Cricetulus griseus: one gene and its partners. The protein of the gene in region 2 interacts with the protein of the main gene of each other region in a pairwise test. Links are inferred from orthologs where the notes say so. Each region holds a gene or a part of one and is shown on either strand. Other genes may lie near its edges.

Region 1 (5,280 bases), on a different chromosome or scaffold from region 2:
CTCTGCCTCACAAGTGCTGGGATTAAAGGCAAGTGCCACCACACTTGGCTTTTTGTTCTTTGTGAAAATGACAAAAAGGATGATTTTCAGAATATTGTGCAGAATATATAAAGGATGAGAGGGCCCAGAGTATAGCACAGTGACTGAGAGTCTTTAATCCCAGCACTTGGGAGGCAGAGGCAGGCAGATTTCTGTGAGTTCGAGGCCACTCTGGTCTACATAGCTAGTTCCAGGACAGCCAGGGCTACACAGAGAAACCCTATCTGGAAAACCGAAAAAATAAAAAAGTTTTATTGAGAGTATCTAAATGGTCTGTCTACATAATCCTGGCTGTCCTGAAACTCACAATGTAGACCAGGCTGGCCTCAGACTCATAGAGTCTGCCTACCTTTGCCTCCCAAGTGCTGGAATTAAAGGTGTAATCCTAAAAATTATTCTGTGCTTTTTTGGGGGGTGGGTAGGGTGGGGTGTTTTGAGACAGGGTTTCTATGTGGCTTTGGAGCCTATCCTGGAACTAGCTCTTGTAGACCAGGCTGGCCTTGAACTCACAGAGATCCGCTTGCCTCTGACTCCTGAGTGCTGGGATTAAAGGTGTGTGCCACCCCTGCCCGGCTATTCTATGCTTTTTAAAAAATGGGGTTTTTTTGGGGGGGAGGGTGTTTGCCTGTATGTGTGTGTATCATGTGTATGCAACTTCTGAGGAGACCAGAAGAGGGCATCAGATCCCCTGGAACTGGAGTTACAGATGGTTGAGTCAATATGTAGGCCCTAGGAATTGAACTGGGGTTTTCTGCAAGAGCAGCCAGCTCTTGACTGCTGAGTCATCTCTCCTGCCCCAGCTGTGCTGTGCTTTAAGCATTATTCTAGCTGGCTCTGTGATACAAACTGTGGTCCCTGCTGTTTTGGGAAGCTATGGCAGGAGAATCACTTGAATTCGTGATTTGGAGAATAGTCTGAGCAACATAGCAAAAATAAAAAGCATCTCAAAAAGTGTAGCAAGAAGCCAGGCGATGGTGGCACACTCCTTTAACCCCAGCACCTGGGAGGCAGAGGCAGGTGGATCACTGAGTTTGAGGACAGCTTGGTCTACAGAGCTGGTTCCAGGACAGGCTCCAAAGCTACACAGAGAAACCCTGCCTTGAAAAAGAAAACAAGAAATTGTAGCAAGAATAAGAAATGCATTCAGAAGACAGCTAATGTGTCTGCCAGTGTCTCTCCAGGGGAATGATTGGTATGTTTCCTCTTCATTGGTAATCAATAAAGGCTCTTTGTGCCCTAAAATAATAACTGAATTAATGAGAAGTTTTACTTTGAGAAAGGGTCTTTAATTCTCAACAGACTGTCAAAGGATGCAAAATAAGGAGGCAGAGAGTCCCATGCTGAAGGTTTTTATTTACTTAGTTTCTGCTGTTTCATTTTTGTGTTTTTGAAAGGGGCTCACCCTGTAGCCCAGGTCATCCTTCAACTTGGAGCCATTCACACTGCCTCAGCCTCCAGAGTCCTGAGATTACAAGCAGAATCACCATGACCCCCTGTTCTAAACATTTAAAGCCATTTGCTCGGATACTCACAGATGTCCCATGAATCAAGGACAGTTGTGCCCTAGAAGTGAGCACCAGGTCAGCTGCCTGTGCAACAACTCCAGACGGCAATAACATATCACGGGGACCCCGGGGTGGAGGACTAGCGATGCGCTGTTGTGCACCAACCATACACCAGGTTCACTTGTGTAGGTGCTGAGAAGTCAGAATCCCAGGCTGAGATTAAGGGGCCAGTTTTTTGTTTTGTTGTTTTAGACAAAGCCTCCTTACACAGCCAGCCCTGTCTAGCCTGGAACTCAGCTGTGTAGACTCGGCTAACGTCAAATTCACAGGGATCCTCCTGGTGAAGCCAGTTTTGGACTGCATCTCATGCCATTTCCGGACTGTCCGAGTCACACCCCCGTGGCGTCAGCCCTGGAGCTAGCTGCCAAAGTCCTAGGATGCTAAAGGGGCAGGGCAGGCGGAAGACAGACGGTGGGCCAATGGCAGTCGCCGTCCCTCACCTGGGTGGCCACGTGGGCCCAGGTATGCGGCGGCCCCGCCCTGGCCCAGCCCGGCGGGCTCGGGGCTGGATCTGGGAGCGGAAATTCCTGCAGGGGCCGGACACTGCGGGCGGAGCTCAGCATGGAGCCCGTGGAGGCCTGGACCCCAGCGAAGGTGGCAGCTTGGCTGAGAGGTTGGTGAGCCGGGGGCAGAGGTGGACTTGAAGGGAAGAGTGTGGTGTCCCTTTGGCAGAAAGTAAGGAGGGAGAAAGGAGAAAGAACCTGCCGCCGAGTCTATTAGTCAACAGGTATTTATAGAGCGTCTGCTGTCTGCCATGTACCAGTGACCAGGGTCCTCCGAATAGGCACCGCGTTGACGGAGACAGGCCAGGAGCCGTCAGAGGCACTAAGACGCAAGAAGGGGTCTTTCTGTATGTGTGTGTTCAAGCGCCCGCCAGGGCGGCGACAGGCAGGTGCAGTACTAAACTAAAGACAGGGTGGCCCTTGTGGCCCACGCCCCCTTTATCTCCGTCATCTTCCCTGTGCCCCAGGGCCCTGTGAGCTGTTTATTAAGCCCATTTTTCGAAAGTACAAACATGCACACAGCCAGGAAGTGATTTGTTCAGTCTTGGAACTGGTCAGGCCCTGGTGTCCTTTTCCCCTCTCCTCAGCCTGAGATTGACAGTGAGAGAAGCAGAACCCGCCGCCGTTCTCAAGGGGTGAAGATCACTCCCCAGGCGACCAAGAGATACAAACACAGGCAGACTCAGAGAAATGAAGGCCATTGTGGCTGCAGCGGCCAGTGGGGAGGCCAGCCATTGCTCTCATGGGCAGTTGGAGCTTGCTGGAGGCCTTTTCAGTGTGAGCAGCCCAGTAGAACTGCAATCACACTCCCAGACCGGGGCCCCAGCCAGCACTAATACTCACCAGGTCTGTGACCACAGGTCTCAGCTTCTCTACTCATGAACTAGACAAAAACGTGACCATGGTTGTGACTGGCAATGTGTAGCTCAATTTTAGTGTGTTCGGGGAGAGAGGGAGTCAACCCAACACATTCAACATGGGAAGGAAGTGGTCCAAATAACCCTGGCTTATTGAGCTCTTAGTCAGGACTCTTAATGCTACAGGAGGAATGAGGAACACCTAATGACTACACACATTCCCCAGTGAGTCGGGCCTGGTGGGATGGGAGGCTTTCTTCCAAAGCATGAGCAAGCCACTGTCTCTCCCTCTTTTGGTTTTTGCAGTTGTGTATCAGGGATGATGTGTAGCCCCCAACTTCTAGGAATGCCATTGTGGGTAAAGTTCATTTTATTTTTCTGTTTTTGAGACAGGGTTTATTTCTCTGTGTAGCTCCAGCTCTCTTGAAACTCACTCTGTAGACCAGGCTGACCTTGAACTCTGGGATCCCCCTGTCTCTGCATCCAAGTACTGGCATTAAAGACTTGTGCCGCCACACTTGACTGTGGGTAAAGTTCTTAAAGCATTGCCTCACATAAAGTACGGTCACAGTAGACAGCCTGGCAACAATGTGATAGCTGTTACTTCCTGACTATGAACCAAGTGTTTGGCACACATGAATTAATTTTCTAAAACACATGATTAGAAGGCAGGTGCTTTCGATGTCCCCATTTTATTTATTTTTAAATTTTTATTTACTTTATGAGTGTTTTGCCTGCATGTTTGTATGAGCTACCATGTGGGTGCTAGGAACTGAACCAGGGTCCTCTGTAAGAACAGTAAGTGCTCTTAACCAATGAGCTATCTCTCCTGGGTTTTTCTTTTCTTTTTGTTTTTTTGGGTTTTTTTTTTTTTTTTTTTTTTTTTTTTTTTTTTTTTTTTTTTTGAGACAGGGTTTCTCTGTGGAACAGCCTTGGCGGTCCTGGAACCAGCTCTGTAAACCAAGCTAGCCTTGAACTCACAGAGATCCACCTCCCTCTGCCTCTTGGGAGTGCTGGGACTAAAGTCGTGTGCCACCACTGCCCTGCTCCATCTCTCCTGTTTTATAAGTGAAGAAATTTAAGCACAGAACTAGTAAATATCTTAAGTGTTAGGTCCTGCTCGGGTCCCCCTGACTCCAGGTGGTTGGGCTATGAGTCCTAGGAAAACAAGCTTAGGCCCTCTGCAAGAGCAGTGTGTGTTGTTCTTAGCCACTGAAGCAACTCGCTAGCCTCTTTTTTTTGTTTTTTTGATAACTGGATTGCAAGGTATTCGAGCACGAATTTGGTGGATGGCAATGTCAGTAGGCTGGATACACTTGCCAGAGTCGCTGCTGTGTATGGTTCTCCACTCAGTAGCATCAGCTGCAAGACAGGCAGAATCCAGCCAGGTCTCGGGGTTGTCATTGGGGACAGGTGGGAGGGGGAGGGCTCTGATATAATGAAGACTCAGAACGGTAATGACACCTGTTTCCCGACGCTGACCCCTTGCTCCAGGCCTTGATGATTCACTGCAGGACTACCCCTTCGAAGACTGGGAGCTGCCTGGAAAGTACCTGCTGCAGCTCTGTCCCCAGAGCCTCGAGGCTCTGACTGTGTGGCCTTTGGGCCACCAGGAGCTCATTTTAGAAGGGGTGGAACAGCTCCGGGCCCTGGTGAGTAAGCACTGGCCACATGGCCATAGCATCTGCCACACTGGTTGTAGCACCCACCAGTCTAGGGGTTTGCCCGTGTGGGCTGGCTGTTGAGGGGGCAATAATATGCCCGTTCTTGATGCAGGGCTCCAAGCTACAGACAGAGAATCTGCAGAGCCTGGCTCAGGGGCTGCTGGAAAGGACCCAGGCGTTCCAAAGCTTGGTCCATGGCCGTCTGGGAGACTGTGCTGAGACTCCTGCCGATGTCCTTGCTGCTGCTGTAGAGCTGGTGCGGGAGGCCCATGCCCTCCTCTCCTGGCTCAACAGGTACCAGGGATGGGGTAACAAAGTGACTCTTCTTATCCCTGGTCTCCTCCAGGGCCTGGGAGAGAATAACTGTCCTTGACTCTTGATATGTCAGAGCAAATCAAAGAGTCTGTCTGTGCAGGGACACTGGGCCACCTTGCTTCCCACCCCACCATGGGGCTTGTCATCTCAATGGTTTTATCAACGGTTGAGTTTATGTTTGCTTGTTTGACATTTATGTGTGCATGTGTGTGTATATATATGGGGCAGGGGCACAGGAGTGTATGCAAAGGTCAGTGCATCCCTTGTAAGAATCAGTTCTGGCCTTCCACCATGTGAGTCCTGGGTGTTGAACGCAGGCACCTTTACCACTGATGGG
Region 2 (4,560 bases):
CTCCTGCCTCCACCTCCTTCAGCAAATCCTACATGTGTATACCACCACAACCAGGTCTCCTTCACGTTTTTTTGAGACAGTCTTGCAAACTTACCCAGACTGGCTTCAAACAGCAGACACCTATCCTCTTGCCTCAGCCTCCCTAGTTCTAGACTGTGCCCCATCAAGCCAGGCTTTTCCCTTAAGCTTTTGAGTTACCTTCTTTATGCTCCTCACTGTCACCTAGATGTCCCTTAGATGACATCAACCCCCCCAGTAATGCTGCTTTCTTGCTCTTCAATTTAGGCCACCAGGGTAAGGATTAAGAATAAAGTTTTGGGCCTGGCAGTGGTGGCGTGCGACCTTAATCCCAGCACTCCGGAGGCAAAGGCAGGTGGATCTCTGAGTTTGAGGCCAGCCTGGTCTACAGAGCGAGTTCCGGGGCAGCCAGAGCTACACAGAGAAACCCTGTCTTGAACCCCCCCTCCTTTGAGGTATCTGCCTCTGTCTGTGCACAAGATATAGCTGCTGCTGTGAGCAGAGGTGGGAGGTGAAGCCTGGTTTGTTTGCAGTGGAGCGATGGATAGAAACCGCCATACTTACCTTTTTGGTGAATGTCTGATACTGGAACCTGAACTAGAACCTCACAAATGCCAGGCAAGCACTGTTCTATCAGTAAGCTAGATCCCAGCCCCATGGTATTTTTGTTTGGTTTGGTTTAGTTTTTCCGAGACAGGGTTTCTCTGTGTAGCTTTGGAGCCTGTTCTGGAACTCGCTCTGTAGACCAGGCTGGCCTCAAACTCAACAGAGATCCTTCTGCCTCTGCCTCTCGAGTGCTGGGATTAAAGGCATGAGCCACCAACACCTGGCTGTTTGTATATTTTTTAAATTGGATCCCATGTAGTCAACATTGCTCTCAAACTATAGCTGAGAATGTTCTTGAACTTTTGATCATGTTTATTTTGTAGGGTAGCCTGAGGACATCTTGGGGTGGGTGGGTTCTCCTTCCACTAGGCAATTCCTGGAGTTCAAACTCAGGTTCTCAGACTCTGACACATTCCTTTCCTTGCTGAGACATCCTGCAGACCTGGAAGCTGTTTTTTCTGTTTTGCTAGTTTAGTGTCTGTATCTACCTAGAATATTAGCACAGTCCTGTCTGAGACAGGTCCTGGTGGGGACAGCATCCTCCTAAGCCAGTCCTCATCCTGGCTTTCTGGATAGAGTCCTCCTCAACCCAGCCTCAGCTAAATAGGTGCTGTTCTCCCCCAGGCCGTGTATACTACTTCAATCACATCACCAACGCCAGCCAGTGGGAGCGGCCCAGTGGTGGCAGCAGTGTTGGAGGCAGTAGCAAGAATGGCCAGGGGGAGCCTGCCAGGGTGCGCTGCTCGCACCTACTGGTGAAGCACAGCCAGTCTCGGAGGCCCTCTTCCTGGCGGCAGGAAAAGATCACCAGGAGCAAGGAAGAGGCCCTGGAGCTGATCAATGGTGAGTGGGAGAGATGGGGCATTGTTGGGGGTCCTCTGGAGGGGTGTGGCTATCTTTTCCTGTTTTGTGACAAAACACCCTGACAAGGGCATCAGGAGGGTTCAGCCAGCAAAGTCAATTTCTGCTAAACCCGAGGACCTGAATTCCATTCCCAGGATACATGTGGTAGGAGGAGAGACCCTGTTCCTGGGAGTTGTTCTCTCTTGCCTCCCGAGCCCACCATGACATATGTGCTGCTGTGCTCCCCCACCCCTGCCTTCCCAACCAATAACTGCAAACTTTTAAAAAGGTTTTAAAAAATGAAGCAGCTTAAGGGAGAAAGGTTTGTTTGGGCTCACATTCCATTCCAGGTCATAGTTCCCCACAGCAAGAGAGTCAGAGTGGCATCACAACATTGTCAGGAAGAAAGAACACCGTGCCTGTGCTAGTGCTCAACTTACCTTCTCTAGTTTTCAGGCTGGGATCCCCTACCCCAGGGGATGGTCCTGCCAACAAGTGAGATGGGTCGCCCCACATCAGCTAACATAATCAAGATGGTCCCCACAGGGTTCCCAGTAGCACATCTTCCAGGTCATTCTGCCACATAGACAATAAGCACTACCCATCATGGGGGCCTTTCAGAAGTCCCACCAGACCCTCCCTCCACCCAGTCTGCTCAACTTCCAGAGAAGTGCTTGTATTGAACTGGGAATATAGCTCAGTTGTTAGCATGCTCACCCAGCTTGCAGGGAGCCCTGGCTTCAGTCTCTAGTACCCTGCACCCTGTAATCTCAGCATAGAGATAGAGTCAGAAGGATCAGAAATTCAAGCTTGGTGTTGGAAAGATGGCTCAGTGGGCAAAGGGCCTGAATTCAGTTCCTGGGACCTACACAGTTGAAGGAGAGAATCAGCTCCCTCAAGTTGTCCTCTGACCTCAGTGAAAACACTTGTCACATGAGTTTTTTTTTTTTGTTTTTTGTTTGTTTTTTTTTTATTTTAAGGATTTATTATATCAACAGTGCCTGCATGTCTGCACACCAGCAGAGGGCACCAGATCTCATTATAGATGGTTGTGAGCCACCTTGTGGTTGCTGGGAATTGAACTCAGGACCTCTGGAAGAGCACTAAGTGCTCTTAACCTCTGAGCCATCTCTCCAGCCCCTGAAAATTTTTCAAGTAGAACTCTAGGTCCTACATATTGAGCTCAAGGCCAGTCTAGGCTACTTGAAGACCTTGAAAAAAAGTGCCTATACTTGGGATGAGCTGGGCCCATGTAGGCCCCTCCCTCTTTTCCTTTCTACTTGCCACCAGGTCTAGAAAGCCAGCATACCCTAGTTAGTGGCAGTGTCTGGTAAGCTCTGTGGTCTGAGAAACTCAGAGCCTTACTCAGGACTCAATTTTCTATTCTGTTAAATGAACATTAATTTATATTTATCCCAAGGGCCACTGTAGCAGTGCATTGACAGGAGTCAGTTTTGCCCTTTAGGGAGGAGCCTGGGCATCTGGATGGTCTGGTAAGCACAGAGCTGATCTTATAGAGTGATGAGTCAGTTGTACCACAGGCAGAGGCTGGCCCCTTCCAGTTTTTCCTTTGTAATTTACAGCAAGGTTGACAGACTTTGTTATTCAATCATTCTTTCTTTGCTATAAGATTTTTTCTTTTTCAGGCTGTCTATTTTTGATAAATATATGTGTGTGTCTTTTGCCCGTATGTATATATGTGCACCATGTGTGTGCCTGGTATCAGTGGAAGGTAGAAGAAGGCATCGCATTCCCTTAAATTGGAGGTAGATTTGTGAGCTACCATGTAAGAGCAGCCAGTACTCTAAGCCATCTCTTGGGTGTGTGTGTGTTTATGTTTATGTGTATGAAAATGGCGTGTGTTCAAGTGTGGCAGTCAAAGGACAATTCTCAGGGGTGAGCTCTCACCTGCCATATGAGTCCTGTGTATTAAATTCAGATCATCTGCCTTGGCAGCAAGTGCAATCACCTGCTGAGCCATCTTGCTGGCCCTTTGTATGATTTGTTAGGATTGCTTTATGTGTATTCGTGAGTACCTACATGTATGTATATATACCACATGTATGCCTGCTACCCATGGAAGCCAGAAGAAGGCATCAGATCCCCTGGAACTAGGCAGTCATAATCTGCCATATGTGTGCCAGGACCCAAACCTAGGTCCCAGAAGAAAATTCTGTGTTGAGTTCTAAAGTCAACACAAAGGTCAAAAACCAAAACAAAAAACCAAATAATTTCTTCATCCATCATTGAACCACTGACCCGTGGTTTACTCTCCAGTCCCATGTTTGTTTGGAGACACTGGCTCACCTTGAACCCAGAACTTGTTGCAGGGGAATCAGGTAACAGTGATAGGGACAGTGCCTGCCCCAGTTGCCTGCCTTGGTCTGGAAGGTACCATCAGTTTTCCTTCTGCCCTGAGGAAACAGACTGCCCATTTTGGAAGCAGCACCTCTGCATCCCTGCTCCTTTTTCAGCACTGGTTCCTCCACAGCTGCTGGGCAACTGCCAGAAGAAACCTGAGGCCCAGCTAGTGTCATCACCGTGTCCTTGTCTGAGGCAGTCTGGCTGTGTGTGGGTAGGCCCTAGCTCCCTGTTCTGTTGCTTTGTTTCCACTTATCCAGGCCAGAATTTGGGGAGGTCCAGAATAAGAGTACATGCAGCACCCTCCCCAGGCTTCAAGGATCAGCTGTCTCCTCTGGTGGAGTGGTGCCCAGCCAGCCTGATGGCCTGTGGCTGGGTTTCTGGGCCCCTCCTGCTGGGTCTTGGGTCTTCTAGGATAGCATATCCAATGATGTTACTACCTCTTCCATAACCAGTCTCTTCCCTTATGGCCACCTGTGAACTGGGAGATGGGCAAGGGGATTGTCTAAACACTTTTAGGATGAGGAAACATCCTTTTGGTTCATTCTGTCCCTTAGTCGCTGTAACACAGTGCCACAAGCTCGGTAGCTTAGGTGACAGAAGTTTCTTTGAGTCCCAGTTCTGGAAAAGTCTATGCCCCATGCTTTTCCTCTAGATTCCCTCTCACCAGCCACCACAGACCTGTGCCTTTCTCACTTTCCCCATCAGGTTCCTGCTGAGATTGCTTTTCTT
Region 3 (5,178 bases), about 62 Mb from region 2:
TCATTACAGATGGTTGTGAGCCACCACGTGGTTGCTGGGAATTGAACTCAGGATCTCGACCTCTGGAAGAGCAGCCAGTGCTCTTAACCACTGAGCCATCTCTCCTGTCCCACATACAACCTTAATTTTTTGTGTGTGTGTCTGTGTGGGTGAATCTGAAACATGAAATTTTAAAAGAATGTTAAATGTTAGTTATTTTCAAAAGTATAATACTAGCTTTTACAGTTCAAAGTGGGTCCACAGTTCTCAACTTTTTAACAAACTGTCATTTATAAGGCCAATATAAACTCCACTGTATTTTCCTTTTTTCTGATAGGCAGGCATTAACTACCAGCCCCCCTTTATGGTCCCTGGGGGAGACCTGGCCAAGGAACAGCAGGCCATGTGTATGCTCAGCAAAACAACTGCCACTGAAGAGGCCTGGGCTCACCTAAATCACAAGTTCAACCTCATGCATGCCAGAGAGGCCTTTACGCACATCTATGTGACAGCAGGTGTGGAGGGGTGTTCTCTGAGGTCCAGAGGACCTGGCAGCCTCGGGGAAGGGTTATTAAGAGATGGCTGTGGATTCTGCAGAATGAGGGGGGGGAATACTGAGTGCAGCTATGTGGCTGGCAGTTATATCTTTATCTCCCCCCCTACTGTTAACATTACTTTTACTTCATACAGTACTTTAAAAACAAAACAAGACAAAAAACAAAGTTCCCTGTCTAGATAGCTGCCTTTCTTGGAAGGGCCAACTACTAAATTCCTCTGCAGCAAATACATTTGTTTTCTCTAAGACATTAATAGGCATATCTATATGCTCAGTTACTAACAAGATAAGTCAATTGGGGCAACACACATTGTTTTAAATTGAAGAATGAAGTCCCTCACACCGCGTGTGAACGCAGCTGGGGTTCCACCCAAGCTGTAGAAACCTAGGTTTCTACATTAGCTTTCCTCCTCGGCTGGCAAATGTTTATGTCCCCAGATTGCACTCAGTTTTGAGCACTGGTTTAAAGACCTTGATCTAAAATGGACCCTCCAGGACTGCTAATGTCACAAAGTAGATGCTAGAAAGAGATCCTGTTGCCTGGCCCAGCTGGGAGTGCCAGGTTTCTCCTGAGACAGCGGTAAAATCCCAGTGGGCTCAGACCCTCCTGGCCGTGTTTGCAGTCCCTCTGCTGACGCAGTTAATTCCGTTACTTTAAGAACTCTTTTTTGTCTTTACGTTTTATCTTGTGCATACGCATGCATGCACACGTGCGATATGTGGGGGTCAGAGGACAACTAGTGGGCATTGGTTCTTCCCTTCTAACCATGGCGGGCAGGGAAATCAAACTCGGATCCTCAGGGTTGGCAGAAAGTGCCGAGTCACCCAGGGCCCTTGGCGGGGTTCTTTCAGGCAAGAGCCCAGATTTTTCTTGGTGGTGAATCTTCTTTCAACCAGAGTGTCAGGGAGCACTACAGATCGCACCGGGGCTGCTTAGTCCTAACGGCGAGCGCTCGGTAGTCACCCTGGATACACAAACAAAACAAGGGAGCGAGGACACGGCCGCTCCGGGGATCTCAAGCACCTCAGCGGCAACGATCGGCCCGCACTCCCAACATCCGGTGGCCGGCCCGCCAGGATCTCTTCCGGTCCCGCCCCTTGAGGGCAGTCGCAGCCCGCTACGGAGTCCCTACGCTCCCAACTTCCGCATTGACCCACCCATCGCGAGACTTTGGCGGCGCAGCAATGGCAAGACCGTGAGTACCGCTGACGGGAGTCTATAGAACGAGTTAGGACGGGATTGGGACGAGGTCGGGCCGCGGGGGAGCCGGCAGGTTCAGGCCCTCTGGAGGGAGTGGCGGCGGGGCGTGAAGGCAGTCCCCTCCCCCCGGCTGCCGCCCACGACCCAGCTCCCACCCCTTCCCCAGATGCCGCGACACTGCTCCGCCGCCGGCTGCTGCACACGGGATACGCGCGAGACTCGCAACCGCGGCATCTCCTTCCACAGGTCAGCGCGCGTGCGTAGTGGCACGCGAGGGCTCACATGCGCAGGCGCTGGTGTTGCTGCACTTTAGGCCGCGCAGGAGACAGCGCCTTCCTGAGGTCGAAGTGAGGCTTGAACTTTGTGAGCGGGAGGGTGAAGGGCGGTCGAGGAGTCCCGAATCCAGCCGAAAAGGACTGGGCGCTTTCTTGCCTTGGACTTGGAGCTCTAACTCTTTGCTGCTAGGTGATGCTAAGCAGGCCCTGTTCCTTCCTTCTCTCGTCCTCAGTTTACTCCTAGCGGGTGGTAATCCGAAAGGGTCGCGGGGAGGTCTGCCCCTCTTGCCTGGGGAGCTTGGGCATCCTGATCGCGGGCTGCAGCAGTCTGGTGCTCACGGTTTTGTGGCTCTGCAGACTTCCCAAGAAAGACAACCCCAGGCGCGGCTTGTGGCTGGCCAACTGTCAGCGGCTGGACCCCAGCGGCCAGGGCCTGTGGGACCCGGCCTCTGAGTACATCTACTTCTGCTCCAAACACTTCGAGGAAAACTGCTTTGAGCTGGTGGGAATCAGGTGGGTTTTTCTGCCAGATGACACTTGAACAGGTGGTGAGGCATCAGAGCAGTGAGTGTGGCAAGTGGGGCGGCTCTGTGCCCTGGTGAAGCCCATGAACGGCTGGCTGGCACGCTCACAGACAGGCACACCTATGTCGAGGGTGCTGTGACCTCTTCCCAGTTGTGTGCAGTAAAGCATGGCCCCAGGATTACCATGCCAGTAGCATCCGAGAATAACAGCCTTTCCCGGCTGGGAAGACAGTTTTCCCAGGTCTGGAGAAGACAAAACTAAAAGATACCAGGGCTCCTGCCAGCTAGCTAGTCTAGATGAGTTGTTGAGACCTGTGTTCAAGGGGACACTGTCATTCATAGATAGATAGATAGATAGATAGATAGATAGATAGATAGATAGATAGATAGAAAAAATGTGGGTGAGCTGGAGAGATGGCTTAACAATGTAGAGCACTTGTTACTCTTCTAGAGAACCAGGGTTCAATTCCCAGCACCAAGGGATATCCCTTGCCTTCTTCGTACTTCTAAGGGCCCTGGCACACAGGTGGTACATACACATTGTACATGTAGGCAAAACATTCATACTCATAAATAGGGCTGGTGAGATGGCTCAGAGGTTAAGAGGCTTCAAGCTGTCACTGGTGTCACCTTTAAACCCAGCACTCTGGAGGCAGAGGCAGGCGGATCTGTGAGTTTGAGGCCAGCCTGGTCTACAGAGTGAGTTCCAGGACAGGCTCCAAAGCTACACAGAGAGACCATGTCTTGAAAAACAAAAAAGATACTGGTTTCTTCCAGACGACTTGGGTTCATTTGCCATCATCCACATGGTGGCTCACAAGCCAGTAAACTCTAGTTCCAGGGATCTAGTGCTCTTTCTGACTTCTGTGGGTACCAGGCATGTGGATAGTCATATGTACAGGCAAAGCACCCATACACATAAATGTTTTTAAGGAGAAAAAAGAAATCTTTAAAAACAGGTGGAGAATAATTTTAAGAAGGCCTCTGATATCCACACAAAAGTAAAATAGCTTTTCTCTGGGGTATTTGGCCCCTAGTTCTTCCAGCAGGCCCACAAATGAGAGACTTCTGACTAGTCCACCTAGCCGTGCGGGGGTGGGGAGGCGTTGTCCATTCACTTCAAGTCTGGATGCTCATTCACAGGGCAGACTAGTTGGATTCTACCAAACTTGGCATTCTTCAGATTATTGGCAGTGTGCCATGAAGCCCATAGCCCTAGTGCTGAGGGGAGCTATGTTGGGACCAGGGGAAGTGGCAGCACTTTATTTCCACCTCATCTGGGCTGCTTTTCCCCACAGTGGGTATCACAGGCTGAAGGAAGGGGCAGTCCCCACCATATTTGAGTCTTTCTCCAAGTTACGTCGAACAACCAAGACCAAGGGGCATGGTTATCCACCTGGCCTGCCTGATGTCAGCCGGCTCCGGCGATGCAGGAAGCGGTATGTGCTGAAGGAGGGAGATGCCCCACCCTCCCCCCAGGGCTGAGGGACTGAACTGTAGGGTGAGTGCCAGCATCTTCACTGAACAGGGTTCTTGCTGCCTGGACCCAGTGAAGGGGCTCAGGTGTTAGGGAGTGTAAGTGGGTGTATGAGGGTCCTGGCATGCTCTTAGTTGGCTAGTCAGTTTCTGTCTCCCCTCCAGCTGCTCTGAAGGTCAAGGACCCACAACCCTGTTTTCTCCACCTCCTGCTGACATCATCTGCTTCCCTGTGGAAGAAGCCTCAGCGCCTGCCACTCTGCCTGCATCCCCAGCTGTGAGGCTGGAACCTGGCCTTAACAGCCCCTTCTCAGATCTTCTGGGCCCGGTAGGTGCCCAAGCAGAGGAAGCAGGCTGTAGTGCCCAGCCTTCACCAGAGCAGCACCCCTCCCCTCTTGAGCCACGGCCTATCTCCCCATCTGCTTACATGTTGCGGCTGCCACCACCTGCTGGAGCCTACATCCAGAATGAGCACAGCTACCAAGTGGGGAGTGCCTTGCTCTGGAAGAGGAGAGCTGAAGCAGCTCTTGATGCTCTGGACAAGGCCCAGCGCCAGCTGCAGGCCTGCAAACGTAGGGAACAGCGGCTTAGACTTCGACTGACCAAGCTGCAGCAGGAACGGGCACGAGAGAAGAGGGCACAGGCAGATGCCCGCCAGACCCTGAAGGACCATGTACAGGACTTCGCTTTGCAGCTGAGCAATAGCATGGCATGAGGACACCCAAGGCTCTGGTCTCTCTTCCTCAGAGGTATTTGATTGGAACTACATCCACCAGGCTGACCGGAAGTCACAATAAAGTGGATGCTAGAAAGAGACCTTGCTGTTTGGCTCAGCTGGGGGGTGCCAGACTCCTCCCTAGACAATGGCCAAAGCCTCAGAGGGATCAGGCCCTGACATGCACCCTCCTGACCATGGGGAATCTTTGTTTGCAGTCCCTCCACTTATTTACTCACTCTTTCAAGTAAGAAAGCCAGCTCCTTTGAGTTCAGCTCTGTCCTTCTCCCTCCTTTTTTCGAGTCAGGGTTTCATGTAGTCCAGGCTGGTGTTATTGAAGCCACAGATGACATTGAACTCCTGATTCTCCTTGTACCTTCTGAGTAGAGTGATGGGCATGTGCCATCATACCCACTGTCAGACTGGGTACCTATGTAGAGGCACAACAAGCT

What was found. The genes of interacting proteins can lie anywhere in the genome.
Region 1: the proteins of Pin1 (region 2) and Cnksr1 interact in binary tests that used the Homo sapiens proteins (3 or more experiments, as listed by UniProt). The two-hybrid records come from large-scale screens. The link is inferred for Cricetulus griseus from reciprocal best matches to the Homo sapiens genes PIN1 and CNKSR1.
Region 3: the proteins of Pin1 (region 2) and Thap7 interact in binary tests that used the Homo sapiens proteins (3 or more experiments, as listed by UniProt). The two-hybrid records come from large-scale screens. The link is inferred for Cricetulus griseus from reciprocal best matches to the Homo sapiens genes PIN1 and THAP7.

Annotation. Positions count from the first base shown.
Region 1 is NC_048595.1:19,071,843-19,077,122, forward strand, and holds the start of Cnksr1 (connector enhancer of kinase suppressor of ras 1), read left to right. Parts: upstream 1-1,860; 5' UTR 1,861-2,165; coding exon 2,166-2,217; intron 2,218-4,458; coding exon 4,459-4,616; intron 4,617-4,740; coding exon 4,741-4,922; intron 4,923-5,280. UniProt on the Homo sapiens protein: May function as an adapter protein or regulator of Ras signaling pathways.
Region 2 is NC_048597.1:133,537,829-133,542,388, forward strand, and holds part of Pin1 (peptidyl-prolyl cis-trans isomerase NIMA-interacting 1), read left to right. Parts: intron 1-1,248; coding exon 1,249-1,467; intron 1,468-4,560. UniProt on the Homo sapiens protein: Peptidyl-prolyl cis/trans isomerase (PPIase) that binds to and isomerizes specific phosphorylated Ser/Thr-Pro (pSer/Thr-Pro) motifs.
Region 3 is NC_048597.1:71,784,167-71,789,344, forward strand, and holds Thap7 (THAP domain-containing protein 7), read left to right. Parts: upstream 1-1,758; intron 1,759-1,902; coding exon 1,903-1,982; exon of another isoform or gene 1,983-2,018; coding exon of another isoform or gene 2,019-2,083; intron 2,084-2,368; coding exon 2,369-2,524; intron 2,525-3,833; coding exon 3,834-3,974; intron 3,975-4,176; coding exon 4,177-4,726; 3' UTR 4,727-5,000; downstream 5,001-5,178. UniProt on the Homo sapiens protein: Chromatin-associated, histone tail-binding protein that represses transcription via recruitment of HDAC3 and nuclear hormone receptor corepressors.